Linked DNA regions of Kluyveromyces lactis. The main gene of each other region encodes a partner of the protein of the gene in region 2 in a complex. Links are inferred from orthologs where the notes say so. Each region holds a gene or a part of one and is shown on either strand. Other genes may lie near its edges. The genes, in order: MAK3, MAK10 and MAK31.

Region 1 (6,675 bases), on a different chromosome or scaffold from region 2:
TCTTTCTCATAAGTTAAAGAGACTGCATTTCTCACATACATTGATTAAGATCGGTGATTACCATCCGAAAAGCGTTCTGCAGTGCAAGTACCTGTTTATCATCTGCTCTACGACTGGACAAGGAGAACTACCGCGTAACGCAAGAGAGAACTGTAATGGACGGGCTCAGGGGACTCTCTGGCAGTTTTTGAAGAAATCTACACTTCCTGCGGATCTTTTAGATCATGTTAACGTTGCCATGCTTGGGTTGGGTGATTCCTCGTATCCAAGATTCAACTTTGGTATCAGAAAGCTTCATGAACGTATTGTCAATCAACTTGGCGCTAGTGAGATTTTTCCACGCTTAGAAGCTGATGAGTTGGGACTTGCTGGGAGTAATAAGGATACTGGAAATGGAGTTGAATCCGTCTACTATGAATTTGAGAAAAGAATCATCGCCTACATGTTAGAGAAGTACCCCAACAGAAAGCACGATGGCAAAATGATGCCCAGAGTAGGCCTAGCCGAAGATGTTTACTTGAAACCGAGCAATATATTAGAAATATCCACTGTTAATGGATCGACAAATGATCAGCTACCTGATTCTAAGATTCAATTTGTTGGAGATGAGACAATAAGACATGGAACCGTTAAGAAAAACAACCAAATAACTGCTAAAGATCATTTTCAGGACGTTCGACAATTTGTGTTTGAAACCGAGGATCATGAAGCCTATCATCCAGGCGATACAGTTTCTTTATATCCCGAAAATTCAGACAATGACGTTGAATTATTCCTCGAAGCTCAACCTCATTGGAAGAAGGTCGCTGATGAACTTCTTACAATAACAGACCTGGAAAATTGTGATCGGTTCAGAGATGGTGGTGTTGTGAAACCACTTACTCTAAGAACCTTGTTAAAATATCATTTTGATATCGTCAGTATACCTAGGCAGAGCTTCTTCATGAAAACTTGGACTTTTGCAAATGCTCACGAAGATAGACCAACCGATCAAGAGCTATTAGAACAACAGAGGGATAAACTAAGACAGTTCGGGTATGGACAAGACCTACAGGACTTGTATGATTATTGCAATAGACCAAGAAGATCAGTATTAGAGGTTATACAGGATTTTGAATTCTTAAAACTTCCATGGGAGTTCGCATTAGATTATCTACCCATGATAAAGCCCAGATTTTATTCCATCTCAAGTGCACCATCTGATCCTAATGTTGAACTAACTATTGCTATTGTTCGTTATAAGACTTTGTTAAGAAAGGTACGGAAAGGACTATGCACGAACTACCTACTTACATTAACCGAAAACGATACAGTTCGTTATAAACTTCAAAATAATCATTTACTTCATGAAGATATTATTGGCAAACCTATCATCATGACTTCTCCGGGGGTAGGTCTCGCACCAATGAAGTGCTTGATCGAGTCTAATTTATTCAAGGATCAGTACTTATTTTTTGGTAACAGAATGAAGGATAAGGACTTTTTATATGAAGATACGTTATCTATGTGGAAGAAAGAAGGTAAAATTAATTTATTCACTTGTTTTTCGCGGGATCCCATAAATTCTCCTCATGCTAAGTATGTTCAAGATCAGTTGTGGAATCAATCTAGTCTAATAGCAGACCTAATTTTGAAAAAATCTGCCATAGTATATATTTGTGGATCCTCCGGTAAAATGCCAGTTCAGGTTAGGTTGACTATAGTTGAGATCCTGAAAAAACATGGAAACTTCGAAAACGCAGAAGAAGCCGAGCATTATCTAAAAGAAATGGAAAGAACTGACAGGTATATGCAAGAGACATGGTAGTTCAGTCAAGATTGAAAAAAGCGTCAACTTCATACCACACGGTATTTCTTGGAAACTTAAAGGGGTTCTTTGAATCATCTCCAACCACATGCTTTTCCAAGGCCGAGATTCTACCCATTGCCCATTCCCTATCTTTCAATAATTCGTAATTAGACGTTGAGTTTCTAAGAACGTATTTGATATCAGTATTTGTCGCAGTGAAAATTGCCCATACAACATGCTTCTTGGCCGAATCTTGGGTGTTAACATTGAATGTATCCGGTCTGCCATTAGCGTTGAGTGCAGGATTCCTGTTCGCTTTACTTAATGGAATATTTTCTGTGATAGAAGCAGAGCTTCCGTTAAGAATGCTAGCTGCAATATCAGACTTGACAACATTTGGACGTTGCATAACAGACTGTGTAGATGAGTTTAAATCAATGGATGAAAATGAAGAATTTAGCGACGATATTGAAGAATTTAATAGCAATTCCTGATCGTTGATTGGTAAAAAAAGAGCAAGATCTCCCGGTTGGAAGTTATATATTGTAATTTTGTCTCTAGCACTTTTCTGCAAAAGGAGTTTTTTATTCTTGTTCTCTTTCCTAAGCTTTTTCGCCAAACTTTCGATATCATTGAACCTGCGGATCACTGACGTTTCGAACAATTGGTTACCAAATAGTTTTTCTATGTAGGTAATGAAATTTTCATGAGGTTTGTAGTCAATCTGATCCTTTATAGATTCGAAAGTACTCTTTATTTCTTGTGCAATTACACTTTTTGCCATGGAACTATTCATATCAGCCAAACTTGAATCCAGATCTTTTCTTAAACCTTTGACGCGAACAATTTGAAAGTTTCCATCTTGATCTTTGGAAAGTAACAACCCGATACTCGCCAAAATGAAAATACTACCTTGGAAAACATCATATAAAGTTTTTTCCAATTGCTTATTAAAGTTGATAAACTCTGCATCAATTGTTTTGCTTTTTGATATTTGCAATTGGTTAAGATCTTTTTTAAGACTTTCAACTTCTTCTTGCAAGGAAGCCCGTTCCTGTTCTGCTTGAACTTCTTGGGTTGCCATATTGACAAGAAGATCTTCTTTCATTTTGTTTAAATCCTCGGATTTCCGTCGGGATTCTTCAGATTCCCTTACAAGTTCCTCATTTTGCTCAAAGAGGGATCCTAAATGCTTCTTGAAATTCTCCGAACGAGAATTCATTTCAGAATAGAAGTTTTCGCGTTCAATCAACAACGTTGATAATTCTTTGTTTAAATTTGTCATGGATTCTCTGTAAGCATTTTTCTCGACCTCCATATGGGAAAGTTGACTTTTAAGTGTTGAAAGTTCAGTTTCAAGGGTCTTGGTTAATTCAGAGTATTTGCTTATATCCTTTTGCAGGTTTTGAAATTCCTCGAAGGTTTTATTTGATTCGTGTTGTTGTTTGGAACTTGGGAGATCGAATGTTGAACTTTGCTGTAACTTTGTGCTCACGGTACTATTGCGGAACATTTGGACCATTGCAGTTTCCTTATTCAGAATGCCAGCTGGCCATGAGTCGTACTGATGGAACTGTGCATCAAGTAATAAATGTTCTAGCTTTTTGATACGAGCCTTGTATCCTTCAATGATAAGCTCCGAGTCCTTCGAGAGCGCGTAATCTGTAGGTAAATGCAAGCCTGTCAGCTCCGCCTGCGAGACTTTTGACTTAAGTAAATTAATTGTAGGTTCACCTAAGTTCAATGAAGCAAGTTGATTAATATAATCTTTAATCTGAGACAATGTCACCTGTTTATGATCACTTATGGACGGAATGTATACTGATGATGGTAGCAAACTATCAACATCTAGAAATCGAGTTATCCATTGGAAATCTTTGTACCAAGAGTTTCTTTGTCGTACTTCGTCATCCAAAAGATGCTGCAATGAAGATTCATGTTGTTGTCGAAGTTGAGAGTAACGGTCTGTCCAGAGCTGCTCTCTGTATAACTCAATCAAATACAATCCATAACACATAGGCAAATCCAATACTTGAGATAATTTCAGTTCTTCATTCTTCAAAAACTTCATATTGGTCTTAACGTCTTTAGTTAACACCGACTTCACCATTATTACGCTCATCTGCGATTTTGCAACGGAAAGGTACAACTGTTGCAACTTCTGCTGGACAGTAGCTTTTGTATCTAAATTCGTGGAAGCTTTATTGAACATTGCTTGCGAAATTGTTTGTAATTTGGGGACATGTACACTTTTGAATGTTTCAAACTTCTCTTTTGAAGCATCTTTAGAAGCCTCTTCTTTATATTGATTTGATACAAGCTCAATCTCTGTAGCCATTTCTTTAAATCGTTCAACCATTTGGTTGTCCATATCATCAGAACTGACAACTGAATTTTTTTTCACATCATCTAAATCTGAGATTAACTGTGTTCTCTGCTGGTAGCATTCATCAATACTTTTCTTTAACTCCTTTAACTTCGCATTTAGTTCACGATCCAGACGGTGAATGGAATCCTCGATCTCTGTTAGCTCGCTATAATTGAAAAATGATGATAATAACTGATTAGAAACTTTAATATTGCCGAGAATATTATCATAAAAGGAATGCCATTGATTTGAGGCACCATCTTCGTGAAGCTTGTTAAGAAAATCAACGTTGCCATTATACAGCACCTCCACTTCATAGCAGTAGTTTTTCAAATACTCAAGCATAACAGTACCACACTCTAATAACCGTTGAACGTCTTGATAAGTTTCTTTTATAACGTCCTGGAAAAATTCAACGTCTGATTGCAAAGCCTTCAACCACCCTAAATTCCGTAGAATGACATTTTTATCCAACTGTAACGAATCGCTTATCGGCGATGGCAAAGGTTTGAAAAGTTGGAACCTTGGCTTTGGGGAAAACTCGATCTCCTCATTGAATATTCCACGGTCAAATACGTATATTTCTTCCAATCCTTCTTGTTGCAGCTTTCTGGAATCCCATCCTGCTTTCTTCAATATCATTCCATAAGGTAACAATAGAAGTATGTCATCGAGCGGTATCTGGAAAGTATCACTTGCAAACTGTTTCAAATCTAAGAAACTAGGGAAATAAACATTAGATAATTGGTGTGAAACTCCTGATGTAGCACATATCAACTTGCATGGCGGCATTATTAATAAAATTATCAGATTGTAACCTTAAGACTTTGGAAAGAAATAAAGGGACAATGTCGATTTAATGATGATGAAATGGGGGGTGTTAGCTCACAGGATTCTATATCATGAGTATTCTTTAAATGCTGAGATATATCTAATCTGGAGTACTAAAGCCGTAAGCAACAAGTGGAATAAGAGCCGATAAACGTCAGGGGACTGAAAAACTATGTAACAGGTTTTCTCACCTATAAAACTTACCGGGGGGTCCATATAATCTTTTTTCGAATCAGTTTGGTGAAGCAAGAGCACGTGACTGATATGCTTTTATTATAAAAATTTGGTTTTAAACCTCCAGATGATGAGATAAACAGTTTTAAGTAAAGCTTTTTATATTCGCTAGCTTCGGCAGCATCTACTCTCATTGATATAACTAATTAAAAATTAATAAGAAAGTATACTGCAGATAAACTAAGCAAAGGATGGTCGAAATAAGGTACACACGATTCGATATCAGTAATGACATGGAGTTTTCCACCATCAAGAAATTGATCGATGAGGATCTCAGTGAGCCATATTCGATATACGTGTACAGATTTTTCCTAAACCAATGGCCGAACCTAACGTATTTGGCATGGGCAGAAGGATCGGGTAAGCCCATAGGATGTATAGTATGCAAGAGCGATACTCATAATGGAGTGCGGTTAAGAGGATACATTGGCATGTTAGCAGTGGAGAAACAATATAGAGGCCGTGGGATAGCGAAAAAACTAATTACCTTAGCTATAGATACTATGATTGATGAAAAATGTGACGAGATTATGTTGGAGACTGAATGCAGCAATGCAGCTGCTTTGCATTTATACGAGAATATGGGCTTCATCAGAATGAAGAGATTATTCCGGTATTATTTGAACCAGGGAGATGCGTTTAAACTCATTTTACCGATTACAGAGAAAAGTTGTGTGAGAAGCACATTCCTGGGGATGGATTCCTTTCCTACCGACACCATACTCTAAAGTAAATTGAATTGATTTTATATCAGTAATTGTCATTTTAATACACACACAATATATATATATATATAGCATTGCGAAAAGAGATTTCATTCCTCTTCATCGAACTTTGGAGCCAAATAGAATTGCAAATTACCGCTTGAGATATCGAATTGGAAAAGGGCTGGCGCTTCTTCCGATAATTTTATAGTGATTGTATCTGATAGAGAGGACCCCTTAATGATGTCGTTTAAATATTTAGCACCGAACCTTAAATCTACTGGTTTTTCTATGGTAACTTTAATTGAACTTTCAGGATGATCCAAATCGGTGAAAGGTTTCACAACAATGGACCCACTTCCGATATCACCTTCTGCGGCGAATTTGATGGTATCCTTAGTGACTAAGATGTTAATAGAATCACTCAATTGACTTAAGTCACGTACGGTCTTCGCGAAATCAGCAGATGGCATTGTAATATAGGATTCATATTTCATATCAGAGATCTCCAAGAAATCTGTTTCGATTTCCATCAATTTTAAAGAGTATTCACTGACACGGTCTCTTTTTGTATCTTCGAATAAGATTAGAATAGAATCTGGAGAATCTTCAGCGATAAGCGTTAGATTGTCCGAATTGTTACCACAACGAAGAATCTTACTCAAGTTCGTCAAATCGCAACCTAGCACGACATTTCTGTCCGCTCTAAACTCTTCAAATGCTTCTACATTGATGGAAAGAGAGACAAG
Region 2 (8,291 bases):
ACATTATCGAATTTTCTGTATTATATGATTTTTGGATTCGTATGGAGGAGCTATTGACCCAAGAATTAATTCAAAAGATGAAAGACGATAATTCAGAAAAGCAACGGCTGTTCGCAAATATAAGACTACATGCCGACACTCTAACCTCATTAATAAAAAACCACACTATTAGATTAAACGACTTAGAATTGAGGCGAGAACCCAACAACATCAAATTGTGGCTAGAACGAGTGAAGCTTTTTGATACCATCTCTGATAAAGCTAAAGTTTATGCAGATGCTGTTCTTACCGTGGACTATAGACTTCAGACTACTCCAGGGCTATTAGGAGAATTATGGTGTCAATATTGCAGACTTTTTGAAGAGGATATTGAAAAATCCGAGGTCTTGCTGGACAAAGCCACTAACGTCCCTTTCAAATTTTTAGTAGATCTTGAAAATGTTTGGTTATATTGGTGTGAATACAGACTAAAAAGAAGCATTGACGATGCCATAAAAGTTTTGTCCGTTGTATTAGAAATACCAGATAATCATGAATTACTCCTACAAAAATTTGAGAAAGGAGAATCGCCAGCACAAGCAGCAATTTTCTCATCTAAACGCTTATGGGCAATGTACCTTGACTTATTGGAGGTCAAAGGAAACTATGGTACAGCTGTAAATGCGTATGAAACAGCAATACTCATCAAGGCAGCAACACCAGCCATGTTTATTAATTATGCGTTATTAAATGAATCTTCTGGCCATCAAGCAGAAGCTTTGGCTGTTTTCGAAAGGAGTGTTGAGATTTTTCCTCCAAGCGTATCGAAGTCTATTTGGGATATATATCTGGATGTGGCACTCAAAGCTGATATCACTAAAGAGCAAAAAAGAGATATTTTTGAATCTGCTATTAAGCTTGCAGCTTCAGGAGTGGCATGTGTTTCGTTCTTTGAAAAGTACAGCGACTTTGAGTTAAACCTTGGTTTCCACGAGAGAAGTGTCGAGATTTTGCACAAAGGAGCCAAGAATATTTCGGATCTTGAAAGTAAATGTACTTTATGGGAAGAATGCATCAATAGAAGTGAAAAACAATTGGACGTCAATCACACCAGAAAACTATATGAAGAATGTATAGAAACATTGCCCAATTCTAAAGCAATCAAGTTTCTACTTCCATTTGCTATCTTAGAAGAATCGCGTAATGAGGTTGCTCGTTGTAGAGCATTGTTAGACTACGGGAGCAAATTACTGAAGCCCGCACAGAATGAAGAACTTTGGGATTTCTGGAGGAATTTCGAAACTATGCACGGTACAAAAGACTCGTTCAAGAACATGCTAAAAGCACGTAGGTTCCTAGAGGACACAATGAAAGTAAATACAGAGGAAGTATCCAGACATGCAGATAGCATCGAATTTAGGGCGTCAACTGCGAAAATTAGTGGAAGCGGACCACCAAGCGCAGAAGATAAAGGATACTCAAATACGGCTGAAATTGATTTAGGTCTATAAAATGGATATATATTGATTAAAGTTGATAATGGCATATCGATCAATCTCTTATGTTTTGTTTTGGAAGATGTCGTATTGTCTTTCTTTGATGACGTGTAACATACAAAAACACTAGTATCTTACTGTTTTTCGACCCAATCAGTTGAACTCATGTGGGATAATCTACTTAGGGCTCTTGCAAATGCAAACCGTTCTTCATCTAATGCGAAAATCTGTGCTTTTTTGGCAATATCCTTAGAAAATCCGTGTTTACTGACCAATTCATCCTCTACTTCAGGTTCATCTTCATGTTTCATTTGATCTGCTGGTTTAAGCTCATAGTCGTTGACAATATCTTCTGGTTCCACGAATAGTGAGGTGAAGTCATCTGCACCAGTGGTAGCTAATTTACCACCGTTATCGTAAACTGCATCCAAGAATGTAATGAACCGTCTAACTTCGTCACGTACGTATATGGTTAAGTATGGCAAATCTGTGACAACAAAGGACTTGAATGAGTTAGCCAAAGTTAAATAGTCACCAGCAGCCAAAGGTTCTCCACATAATTGTTTAAAGGTGAATTGTGCTACTCTCCCAGGTGTACATTTAGGAACGAGTAATTGTCTACCCCAGATAGTCAATGGATAGTTATATACAATGTCATGGCCATTTTCTGACTTACTGGGACGATGCAGTTGGGCAAAATAACTATACCATTGCTGTACGTGTAATTTCCTCGCCAATTCACACTCTTTTGAAAAATAGGATAAATTATGACTTGGATAGTAATAAACAGATGAAATTGGTCTTGGAATCTTACGATAATCGGTAGGAGAATCCAACAATACCACTTCGGTTCTTTCCTTTATCAGTTCAATACATGGAACAAACGATTCTCTTTGAACACCATTGATGTAAAGATCATCTGGCTTTCTGTTACTCGTTGCAAAGAGTACAACACCGTACTCTTTGGAAAGCAATGTAGTAATTAACCTCCGTAAAATCATGGCATCTGCCACGTCCGTCACTTGAAACTCGTCGAAACAAAGCACTCTAGAAGTGTTTGCAATCTCTGCCGCTAGAAATGGGATTGGGTCGATATCTCTTCCCTTAGCTTCACCCAAAGCATCGAAATTTTGTTCGGATATAATGTCATGAGATCTTTTATGCACATACTGCATGAACTGATGGAAATGTATACGTTTCTTTGACAAAGCTGGAGGAACTGTCAAATAGAACAACTCCATCAACATCGTCTTTCCACATCCTACATCACCGTATAAATATATACCCTTAGGAACACCCTCCGTCGAATACTTCTCTTTCCTTGCAAATAATTTCCCAAGAAACCCTGTTTTCCAGCCGACTTGATCTAGCACGCTTGGTGGTTGTACTGGTTCCGGATTGTACGAAACCAAAGAGTCGTGCAAATGACCTAAGGATTTGATGATACTCCGCTGATACGGATCATCTCTTAATTTTCCGAGCTTTACCAACTCGTCATATTTCGACAACGGTGTTTCCGTAACATCCGCAGATTGAGAAACCCACCGCTGTGCCAATACTTGTTGGAAAAGTCCAAAGGTATACCCTGGTCTTTCAACAAGACCGCTGCCAACTCTACTGACAAGAACCTTCTTACAACCCTGTGAAAATATCAGCATCGCTTGTCCTTGTACATGACCTTTTCCCAATTGCAATAGATTGTATCTACCTTAATTAACGATAGAGTAACTAGTGTATTATTTATGGACAAATAGTAATTCGGAAGTGCAGCTCTAATACAAAACGTTTCCAATTGCTAAGAAGTGAATATCTAACATTCACCATGGCCTTTACTTAAATACTTGTTAGTGGGGCATCGGTTTGAAGTGATAGTTTCTCAATGTCCCCCACTCTGAGGCCGCTTTAATTTTTTTTCTCCGATTTCGGGTTCTTATTCTACAGTAGAAACATGCTGCTGATCTCTATCTATTAAAGGTCTTCCTCCCCACCCCTCCCTGTCGCTATCTGAATACCCTGAATTCGACTTGTAAAGCTATGACTGACAGCTTTGTTTGCTTTGGTTGGTGAAAACTAGAGATCATCAATTGTTCGAGAATGACTGTTAGCATGCATGTCGATATTTACCAATAGATACTCCGCTCTTGCGTACATAATAACGTAACGAACATACGTTTTTAAGAAACAGTGTGGGGTACCAGACTTGCAAGTGCCTCTAGCAACTGGGAATAGTTTGTACAATGCATGGCTCTCACAGTACCTTGACTTTTCTTAGGTCCGATACTTTTGTTTTATGTTGTGTAGAGTTTATTACCTCTTTTCTACTAAATGTTTAAATCCTAATTTAACTTGTGAGATAGCTTAAGGCTTCCACACGATATCATGAATTAGAGAGATTAGAACAGAATATACAGTTGCGGTAGCACTAGACATTGCAAGATTTTAGGGTTTGATATCTTGGGGCAACTAAATTTGTTTCCCAGCATTCCTGATTATTGATGGTGGTTGAGAATAACATTGCAGAGTTGGCGAATTTAACGCTAGATCATCGAATGGATCCTAAAAACGAAGCCCAGTTTATAGACATCACAGATCATTTAAAGGCCCTAGCAGCGAAGTTGGCACCAGAGACAGTGGTCAAAGAAGCTACGTTCAATCTGTTCGAAGGGACTTATGCATTGGAAGTATGCAACGTGAAATTAGATACAAGCCTTATTGAGTTATGCCCTGAAGAGTTGGAATTCGACTGCAATGTACCATACGGGGACTCAAATAATGGAGAAAGGCTTGATTATGTCACTGCGGTTTGTGATCGATTATGTCGCTCTTTGATGAATTGGCTTCATGATTACCAAACTCTACCCACTACGGTGCTAAGTTGTCGATACGTCGAATTTCTTATGGAATTATACACTTCGAACCCGGTTTCATCGTTACAATCGTTCCAAGGATTACGCACGCGCGACCCCTTGTATGATCAAGTCTTGTGCAGCTTTGTGATAGGTGTTTGTTCATTCATAAAGTTCACTTCCAAAGTTTTGAAAGATGGTGGTGTTTACGAGGAGGAAGACTTGAACTGTAACGTTATGAGTTTGGATATGCTCTCTGGCGTGGACACAAAAGAAGTAATAGATTTATTGAACTCTTCGTTGCAACTGTTAGTTCAGTCATACTCAGAATCTACGCATCTACAAAAACTTGTTGATTTAGTCAAACATTTGTTGCACTTACCCAATTATCATTATCCCTCATGTCAGTCTTCGGTTTCTTCAGACTTACTACCTTTGCAAAAATCACTAGATATTATTTCTTCATTGGTACAAGACGATTATACTACTAAGCAGCATTCATACCCTCCTGGTTGTTTTTCCAAGGGCATTCAAAAGAGGCGTGATAATAACTTCCCACCAAAGGATCTCTTTGAACCTAAGGGAGACGAATATGTCTCTTATACTGAATTCATGAGAGATATCATAGCGGCATTATCGGTAAAAGATTGCAATACAGCGTTCGAAATCAGACAATATGTTTGGTTTTTCAACCGAATTAGACAAAGGACAGTCATGGCTCGTGCGTTACTGCAATCATATTTAATTAGAGAAGACACCATCTTAGACAAGTTTCGGTTTAACACGTTCAAGGATATGCACCTTTACGAGTTCTCATTAGCAGGAACAGCATTGTACGATGTAATATCCAGCCGCGAGCAAACAACAGATCGCGATAATATGATAGAAGCCTTGAATGAACTCTCATATTGCCTCCTTCGTTGGTATCAAAATATGCCACAAAATTCATGTAGGCATCGGCAAGGATTTAATAGACTATTACTCGACTGGGACTCCGTTCAAGCGCAATTTGAGCAATATGAAACCCAATGGCAATCAATGGGAATTGTAGATAGCATTACAAACATGGGGAATATCCCATTGATGCCAGTTTCAACATGGATTTACACTACAAAGTTGCTTATGATGATAGAATTCACTTTAGAAGGATTTCATTTGGAAGTTTACAAGCCTTGGGAATCCTTTACTCAGTACTGGTTCTGTTATTACTTGTCGAGTCACTTGGAATCAAACTTGAAAAGATTGCACGAGTTTCTGTTGCAGAAGATCAGTTACATTTTGAATTACAATAAGAGAATAAAGAAACTCAAGGCCGGCGAAAAGAAAGAGAATGCTAAAGCGCGCTATAGACATTTAACAGATAATGTTTTACCTCAACTAAGACTAAACGAGAGAACTGTCAATTTCTTTTTCATGAAATGCACAATATTTAAGTCTCTCTCCCTGGCTCAAGTATTCCAATTTGCACTACTTAAATCTTTCAACGTAATAGATTCTAAGAATGATGTGTCTACCCGATTCAGTTCCGATAGACTCATACATAAACTTAGATTTAAGACCTTTTCCTCAATTGGAATACCCGAGATCCCCACATTTGAACAATTCCAAAAGTCATTAAACGATTTTGTCATTGAACCACCATCAATTCATTCCAAGATACCCAAACTTCTGAACTTTATGAATACTGAATTAGAATCTGCCAAGAGTGCACTATCTACTATCATACAAACCATAGAGACTGGAGAAACAGATGATTCTCCAGTTTCTACCGGCACAAAACACGTGAAAGAACCGGCGTTACAATGGTATAAATCAATGCTTAACTCAACTGTTGCATTGAGTGTCAATGCATCCGTGTTAAAGACGAAATTGTCGGAAGATTTGAAGTCACATGACTTGCATGCCACTTACGACGTTGAACTCAAATTCACACCTAACGGTTGCTACTATTTCCCATTGTTGACAATTTCACCTAAGAAAGCAAGAAATGCTTTACCACACACCACATAATGGTGATATTGCATGTATATAAACGGCCATATAGAAATATCAGTGTACATCTGAATCGGTAATTGTATGAACCCTAATTTACCTGTGTGATAGTGACCGTGAAGGGTTCACAGACGAAAATAAACAAGAAAACATGAGACTGTGCAACATCAGTGCCTCCATATATTTTGTATAATATGTATGGGTGTATTTTCATTCCCCTTAAAAAAGTTCCCGAAAGAGAAGTTTTGAGAGAAATCCTGATATCACGTGACATAGGCATATTATTCGATTCCCTGCGTAATCCCAGCCAAAGGACAAGACCAAAAGCACTACCAAGCAGGCCTCATTAGATGTGCAACGATCTCAGCTCTGCGAGCAACTTTCTGGCCCATACTCTCTTACTTTTGTTCCGTTCTTCGTACCAAGAAATTTGCGTCCTTTTTGTCAAATTTCGAAAATTCCTTGGTGGAATCTATGTTGCATCCCCTTGCCTAACATCCCAATTCTTTCTAGGATAGTGGGCTTGGATGCCACTGGGAAGGAAAACCCAGACAGGGCCTCTGCCTAGTGGTTCCCATTACTGCCCGCCTTCCTGGAAGCTAGACAGAACTCCCCTGCCTAGCCGTTTCCCCAGGTGGCAGTCTGCCCAGTTCGAGCCTACAGGAAATTTTCCAAAGACGAGCACTGGGGGGATAATCCAACGTTTCAACACAATGGTAAATCTGTAAAAGTAAAGGAACTTTTCAATTACAATAACGATTATTATTCAAGATTGGTAGTTAATTTATCCATTGCATATATTATTATATATTATTATTAGTTGTTTTATATCAGCTTTACTTTAATATTACTTCTTGGTTTACGAAGTCTCCATACCCAAGTAGGATAGACGAATTAGACACAAAATGCCTCCAAAGTTTGATCCAAATGAAGTCAAGTACTTGTACTTGAGAGCTGTCGGTGGTGAAGTTGGTGCTTCCGCTGCTTTGGCTCCAAAGATTGGTCCATTGGGTTTGTCCCCAAAGAAGGTTGGTGAAGATATCGCCAAGGCCACCAAGGATTTCAAGGGTATCAAGGTTACTGTTCAATTGAAGATCCAAAACAGACAAGCTACTGCTTCTGTTGTTCCATCCGCTTCCTCTTTGGTTATCACCGCTTTGAAGGAACCACCAAGAGACAGAAAGAAGGACAAGAACGTCAAACACAGTGGTAACTTGCAATTGGAAGACATCATCGAAGTTGCTAAGCAAATGAGAGAAAAGTCTTTCGGTAAGAACTTGGCTTCTGTCACCAAGGAAATCTTGGGTACTGCTCAATCCGTCGGTTGTCGTGTTAACTACAAGAACCCACACGACATCATCGAAGCTATCAACGCTGGTGAAATTGAAATTCCAGAAAACTAAATTATATCCAATCACCAATTGTCTGAAAGAGGATAAATGCATTCCATCATTTCTGTATTTTCTAGTCTAGGGTTTTTATTACAATAAACAAAAACTTAATCTATTTTCGTTTTAACTCTCTACCATTCCATCCATCCATATGAATCAAGGTACTTACTATTAACAGGAATTATATTCCACTTTTCATTATTCTAATAAACAGAACGTTCCGGCCCAATCACTAACTTTTTATCACATCACAGGAACTATATTTGAACAGTACAATTATTCCATCCATCTTGGAACTAAACAACAGAACAACATGAATTTTCCAAAAAATCAAAGTTTATCGTTTCATATCAAATTTGATCCATATACTTCAAAACGTTTGTCTACACTCTGGAGCTTGGTTAAAGTGAATCATTGATTATTTCTCGATTGAATTTTGGAGTTCTGCTATGATTGAAGAATGGTATCGGTTTTCTCATTTTGTGGAAACGGAGCAAGTGAGATATCTTGTTTCTTAGTACACTTAGTAAGAAGTTTTGCTGATCCATCATCTGATATTTGTGGCAGCATATCCGAAGTATAGTTCT
Region 3 (6,359 bases), about 800 kb from region 2:
CTTCTGTACTGGTTATTTTTGTGTTTGCACAGGGTTAGTCAGGTTGAAAAAGATTTGAGATATAGAGAGAGAGAGAGAGAGAGACGCGCGCGCTTGTGAGTGTTCTGTGTGTATCCGGTTTTGTGTGCAAAATTGAGAGAACGGAATTATAAGAGGAAACGAATAAATAAAGCAGAGACAAGAAGTGCAGTTGGGTTGTTGAACGTGACATTTAAAGTTAGCTGTGTTTCGTGAGTGTAGAGTTTAGTCTGTTTTGTTTTGTCTCTTAACGTTTCGAGGATTAATAAACTGAATTAAACGAACATATTAAAGAAAGTTTGAGACAGGGAAGAGAAAAGAAAAAAAGAAAATTACTATAACTGTAAAAGGAAGATAAATATTACAATACAAGGCTATGGGGTTATGCTGTAGTTGTTTGAGAGGTGAAAGTTCTCTCGAGGATTCGACAGGGTTGCCCATTGCAGAAAATGAAAGGGAAGCAGTGACGTCGTTGTTGGAGTTTTTAGAAAATAAGGACCAATACGATTTCTATTCGGGGAAACCGTTACGGGCTTTAACAACGTTGGTTTATTCTGATAATTTGAATTTACAAAGAAGTGCTGCATTGGCGTTTGCAGAGATTACTGAGAAGTATGTTAGTCCGGTAAGCAGAGACGTTTTGGAGCCGATATTAATGCTATTGACCAACCCAGATCCACAAATTAGGATTGCATCGTGTGCTGCGTTGGGTAATTTGGCTGTTAACAATGAAAATAAGTTGTTGATTGTGGAAATGGGTGGATTGGAACCCTTGATTGAGCAAATGAAATCTGATAACGTGGAAGTGCAGTGTAATGCTGTCGGGTGTATTACCAACTTGGCCACTCAAGATGACAATAAGATTGAAATTGCCCAATCGGGTGCCTTGGTACCATTAACAAAGTTGGCTAGATCTTCAAATATCAGAGTTCAAAGAAATGCTACTGGAGCTTTGTTAAATATGACTCACTCTGGAGAAAACAGAAAGGAATTGGTCGATGCTGGTGCAGTCCCAGTTCTTGTCTCTTTACTCTCCAGCATGGACGCTGACGTTCAATATTACTGTACGACAGCTTTGTCAAACATTGCTGTCGATGAGTCCAATAGAAGATACCTTTCAAAGCATGCACCAAAACTGGTCACCAAGCTTGTATCTTTGATGAACTCTACTTCACCTCGTGTGAAATGTCAAGCTACTTTGGCCTTGAGAAACTTAGCTTCAGATACCAACTACCAATTGGAGATTGTTAGAGCTGGTGGATTACCAGACTTGGTTCAATTGATTCAGTCGGATTCTTTACCATTAGTCTTGGCCAGCGTCGCATGTATCAGAAATATTTCCATCCATCCATTAAACGAAGGTCTAATTGTAGATGCCGGATTTCTACCACCTTTAGTAAAATTGCTTGATTACCAAGAATCAGAAGAAATTCAATGTCATGCTGTTTCAACTTTAAGAAACTTGGCTGCTTCATCTGAAAAAAATAGAGCAGAGTTCTTCCAATCTGGTGTAATTGAAAAATTCAAGCAACTTGCCTTGACATGTCCCATCAGCGTTCAAAGTGAAATTAGTGCTTGCTTTGCTATCTTGGCACTTTCAGATAATACTAAATATGATCTTTTGCAACAAGACGTACTAAAAGTTTTGATCCCAATGACAATGTCCCAGGACCAAGAGATCTCTGGTAACTCTGCTGCTGCTGTAGCAAACTTGATCTCTAGGGTCAGCAATTTAGAGAAAATATTGGAGTACTGGGGTCAACCAAACGATGGTATCAAGGGTTTCTTGATCAGATTCTTGTCTAGTGACTTCCCTACCTATGAACATATTGCTCTATGGACCATTTTACAACTATTTGAATGTCACAACGAAACCATTTACAAGTTAATTAAAGAAGATCAAAAACTCGTCAACGGGGTCAAGAAAATCGCTGATGAAAACTACGCTGTGGCTAGGGAATACATGCAAGATGGACAAGATACCAACATTGATCACAATGGAAATTCGAACAATATAGAAGGCAATGGGAGATCTAACAAGCAGTCTAGTGAAAAGGAAGATGCTTCTTTCGAGTTGTACAACATTACTCAACAAATTATTCAATTCTTAGTATGATATGATAGATTCTTAACAGCTCCAAAAATTAAAAACACAAGAAATTATTTCTACAAGAAAAAAAATATTAAAAAATTAAAAATTATAAAAATTAATTACAAGCTGGCTCTTTTGACCTGGGACAGTGAAGAATATTTTCAATTCTCTTTTCCCATCTGCCATATTTCTTTTCTTTCTATTTTGTTTTGTTTGTCTTTTAAAGTCCTCCCCATTTTGCATTGTTCACTATCCTGTAGTCCATTCCTCTTCTGTTTTTTTCTTTATTGTTGTTTATCACATTAATGTTTGCTAGACCCGCCTCATATTATGTCTAACGCCTGAGTTTATTGGTACTTTGACTCTATTGTCTTCACTCTATTGAAACGATATTAAGTGTAATTTTTCTTTCCTACTTTCACTTTATTGATCATATTGTATCCACAAAATACCATTGGTATCATTTTCATTTATTTTATATTCCCCAGGCTACTTCTACATATTCCAAGTCAAACACGTAACAAGACCTGCCCTTAAAAGAAAGTTTAGAAGAATGAATTAGAGATAGCATACATGTACTTTTCGCTGATCCATTGATATTTCAGAGAGAAAGATCCCGCTGTATTTAATAATTATAAGGTAACACTTATGCATTGTATAATCATAATTTAATCTAATAATGTATGTTTCAAATAAGAAAACTCCTTTGGGACATGGCAACGCACAACGACAAATTCACGTTATAGGGTGTGGTCGTTTATGTAGCGTTTGATAGTTTCCTTTGGCATACAAGACCTTTATCTGTTTGATTGATGATAAAAAACTAAAAAGTAATAATAGCGCCGCTCGGTTTCGATCCGAGGACATCAGGGTTATGAGCCCTGCGCGCTTCCACTGCGCCACGGCGCTAACAAATTAACGATGTTTGTTATTAATTCTCGTTCCATCTATATTTGAGTAGAGAGTTGTCAATAGAGGTCCATCTTTTTAAACCTACTTCTTCCCTACCAGCATTACAACATATTCCAATGCTATCTTTGTTACTATCTGTTTTCCATAGACATAGATTCGTCTTCAATGATGCAATAATTGCCCGGTTCTTACTAGTCAGGTGTTGATGCTCAGAGATAAGAACGAAACATTATCAAAGAATTTATTTCGAAGTTATAAAGAACTCTGATAAGAAATATACATGGTCAACTGCAGTATAATGAGACCTACCGCCCATCACTATAATTTTCAGGTGTAAACGGAATTAAGCAGTCATTGCCAATATGGGTCTTCTTACTACCAATGGGATGCTTATCATCGATGAGATCGAGACGGCGTCATCGCACTATTACGACGTACTAGGTGGAGGTGGGACGTATGCCATGTTAGGCGCATCAATATGCTGTACTGACCTATCTCTGCGCAAGGAACTGCTATGGATTGTTGATCGTGGAATGGATTTCCCTAAGCAACTGACGGAGACTATCGAATCTTGGGACACGGGTTGTGTGTTTCGAGATGACAATGAAAGATTAACTACAAGAGGTTATAACGTATATGGTCCGAATGATTTTAGATCATTCAAATATCTAGCGCCAAAGAAAAGAATAGATGTTTCTGACTGGTGCGAGTCGTTCGGTGTCAAAGCAGTACAAAGAGTTTCATGCTATCATTTGCTATGTTCTGCTGATAGAGTGGCCGATATTCTGGATAAGCTTGCCGAAGAGTTGTCATTTGAGGGAACTCTGAAAACAGGTCAAACGTTTATATGGGAACCAATACCAGATTTGTGTAACGTTGAGCACCTCGAAGGGATTAAGAAGTTGCTCAACGGACCATACCATTTCATCTTTTCGCCAAATGCGGAAGAAGGCGCTAGGATGCTGGGTGAAACAGAGCCAACTGAACTTTCGGATTGCAGCACAATATTATTGAAATTAGCAGCATTGATTAAACCTGGTAACATTTGTGTCCTCAGATGTGGTAAAAAAGGGTCATTGGCCTTAATTTGCAATAAAAATCCATCAAACGATGACATTATCCATTTCCCAGCATACCATTACAAGACTCCAGAATGTGTCATTGATCCAACAGGAGGCGGAAATACTTTCCTTGGAGCATTTGCATTCGCATACGCCATGTGTAAAGACATTTCAATTGCCAGTATATGTGGCAATATTGCTGCAGGTTGTGCCATCGAACAGATCGGTGTACCATCTCACAATGGAATGCACTGGAATAAAACGACTTTTGCAGATAGATTATTATATTATTTATCCACTTATGAACTGAAGCAGGGCCACAGTGAAATATTGAACTCTCTTCAACCAATGAAATATTAAGTCTGTAGGTACCTATTGGGAACAGTTAGATCAGTTTTTTATTTTAATTTGTATTATCATACGTATTGGGAAGAAATATTCAATTTCAGAGCATTGATAGTGTCGACCAGTTCCCTTCTAACTTTTACGGACCGTACAGAAACAAATGGTACACTTACTAAACCCATCTTCCGTACATGGCCGTCATTATTTTCGACCACTTCATCCAGTAGAAGGTTTGCTTTGCAATCAATAGCGATGAGCTTCCCGGTCAAAGATCGTTTCTGATCCAAGTTTATGTACAAAGTTTCGCTCAGTAAATCGTGTAAGTGTACGTTAGATAAATCTGTCATTAATGTAAATTATGCGAGTGATAATGATAACTGGTTGATGCGTTGCCGTTGCCCAGTTTCTCATCTTTGAGGTAGTTTGCCAGATTTCAATCTCTGCACTAAACTCATTTCATATACTTTTACGTATTTTTTTTTTTTAATGGGAAATCTCTAGTTTTAAACAGATATAAACATCTACATCTGTTCAGATGCTCGTTGAAATCCTCGTTCTTTCTCACTAAGCAACTCAGTATCAACGACTCAGTATCAACGACTCAGTATCCGCTGGAATTGATATCATTTCAGAAAGCTTTACTCGTATTAGCTGCAACCATTGTGTCTTCTGGTTATTTTCGACATCTTGTCAGTGTTTTATCAAAGTATTATCGTATTTCGCAATGACCACCACGCAAGGAACCGAACAACCACAAGATTTGAAAGTCAATCTCAAGACAATCACAGCAGAAGACCTATTGTCTAGAAGAGCTAATATGGTGGAGCTTTTCAACTTGTTGGACGACAGTAGCAGAACCGAATTGTTTCTTGGTTCGTCAGAAGACCGCGAAAAGAAACTGGCTTCTCTGAGGAAAAGGCTTCAATCGGTACAACAAGAAGTTGAGACTTTGAAATCAGAATCAGATTAATAAGACGGGGATGCTATGATACAAGCTGCCCAATTCCGAGAGGTTCTCTTTTGTGCATTGTATTCTATTTTTTTTGCTCTTCCTGTCACGTGACTTCCTGTCTTCTGCCATCATTGAATTTGAAAATTGTGGAAAGTGAACTTCAAAAAGATCCTTTTAAGTTGCTAACCCCTTCAACAAGGAAAGCACTCATCATCTTTTGCTGTTCCAGGCGTTAAGACAACGATAATAGAATCGTTTGGTGCTGATATCGCGTTATTGTATTCGATAGGCACGCTACGGTCAAGCTTATTAATTAAAGATGAGGTATGTTCGTTGAAATGGAGTTTTTTCTTTTTTTTAAGATGCTGTGTCTCAGTATCTTTTATGACTAAAGTTTGAATGATCTGTTCAGAATACTAACTATAATCTTGAATGGCTCGTTACACGATATACTTGTGTATAAACGACAAGTTTACATTTTTGAAATCAGTTCTAATTCAAAAAGGAGGATCGAAACGGACGTCATGAAACTTTTGATGAGTGATCATGACGTTGAGTTGGTTGAAGATAAGATGCAAGAGTTCCATATAAAATTTCATGGTCCCAAGGATACACCGTATGAAAAGGGGGTGTGGAGGTTACACGTTGAGTTACCTGACAACTATCCTTACAAATCGCCCAGTATAGGGTTTGTCAACAAGATATTCCATCCGAACATCGATGCTGCATCCGGGTCGATCTGTTTGGACGTGATCAACTCTACGTGGTCTCCGCTATACGACCTTTTAAACATCGTGGAATGGATGATCCCAGGGTTGTTGAAGGAGCCAAATGGGTCGGACCCTTTGAATAACGAAGCAGCAACGTTGCAACTGAAGGATAAAGATATGTATGAACAAAAGATACATGAATACATCAACAAATACGCTACCAAGGAAAAATACATACAGCAGTTTGGGAAATGGAACAGTTCCGATGA

Evidence for each region.
Region 1: the proteins of MAK10 (region 2) and MAK3 are in contact, whole or in part, in a crystal structure (PDB 6YGB), measured with the Saccharomyces cerevisiae proteins. The link is inferred for Kluyveromyces lactis from reciprocal best matches to the Saccharomyces cerevisiae genes MAK10 and MAK3. Residues at the interface, in NP_010861.3 of Saccharomyces cerevisiae: Pro35, Glu36, Ala37, Ile38, Asp45, Leu46, Phe47, Gly49, Thr50, Ser52, Leu53, Glu54, Lys59, Leu60, Asp104, Tyr105, Gln106, Glu173, Asp174, Pro284, Arg286, Thr289, Gln332, Asn403, Cys405, Gln409, Leu455, Asp456, Ile457, Lys459; in NP_015376.1 of Saccharomyces cerevisiae: Ile10, Arg11, Lys20, Asp24, Leu27, Ser28, Glu29, Pro30, Tyr31, Ser32, Ile33, Tyr34, Val35, Arg37, Tyr38, Asn41, Gln42, Lys98, Glu101, Ile104, Asp105, Gln108, Glu131, Gly132, Met133, Gly134, Ile136, Arg137, Met138, Lys139.
Region 3: the proteins of MAK10 (region 2) and MAK31 are in contact, whole or in part, in a crystal structure (PDB 6YGA), measured with the Saccharomyces cerevisiae proteins. The link is inferred for Kluyveromyces lactis from reciprocal best matches to the Saccharomyces cerevisiae genes MAK10 and MAK31. Residues at the interface, in NP_010861.3 of Saccharomyces cerevisiae: Asp4, Ser5, Gly8, Ser9, Ile12, Asp15, Phe16, Asp17, Gln18, Leu19, Val20, Asp21, Val22, Thr23, Leu25, Phe26, Asp27, Leu29, Cys30, Leu33, Lys34, Pro35, Ala37, Ile38, Val39, Lys40, Asp41, Phe44, Glu48, Gly49; in NP_009948.1 of Saccharomyces cerevisiae: Leu4, Lys5, Leu6, Ser7, Phe9, Ile10, Leu14, Ile15, Leu18, Thr19, Glu20, Arg22, Ile23, Leu24, Val25, Leu28, Val29, Ala30, Val31, Asp32, Ala33, Met35, Leu37, Leu38, Glu44, Arg45, Gly47, Ser48, Arg51, Met52.

What each region holds. Positions count from the first base shown.
Region 1 is NC_006038.1:1,057,132-1,063,806, reverse strand, and holds MAK3 (peptide alpha-N-acetyltransferase MAK3), read left to right. Parts: upstream 1-5,413; coding exon 5,414-5,950; downstream 5,951-6,675. Other genes in the region: TAH18 (NAPDH-dependent diflavin reductase), read left to right, coding at 1-1,807; autophagy protein ATG11, read right to left, coding at 1,809-4,949; POL30 (proliferating cell nuclear antigen), read right to left, coding at 6,037-6,675.
Region 2 is NC_006037.1:171,657-179,947, reverse strand, and holds MAK10 (Mak10p), read left to right. Parts: upstream 1-3,970; coding exon 3,971-6,331; downstream 6,332-8,291. Other genes in the region: mRNA splicing protein SYF1, read left to right, coding at 1-1,490; AFG1 (Afg1p), read right to left, coding at 1,610-3,133; RPL12B (60S ribosomal protein uL11), read left to right, coding at 7,219-7,716.
Region 3 is NC_006037.1:973,870-980,228, reverse strand, and holds MAK31 (Mak31p), read right to left. Parts: upstream 4,776-6,359; coding exon 4,500-4,775; downstream 1-4,499. Other genes in the region: protein anchor VAC8, read left to right, coding at 395-2,134; MAK32 (Mak32p), read left to right, coding at 3,385-4,443; HTL1 (Htl1p), read left to right, coding at 5,153-5,398; E2 ubiquitin-conjugating protein UBC8, read left to right, coding at 5,700-5,704, 5,871-6,359. UniProt on the Saccharomyces cerevisiae protein: Component of the NatC N-terminal acetyltransferase, which associates with the ribosome to acetylate nascent protein chains in a cotranslational manner.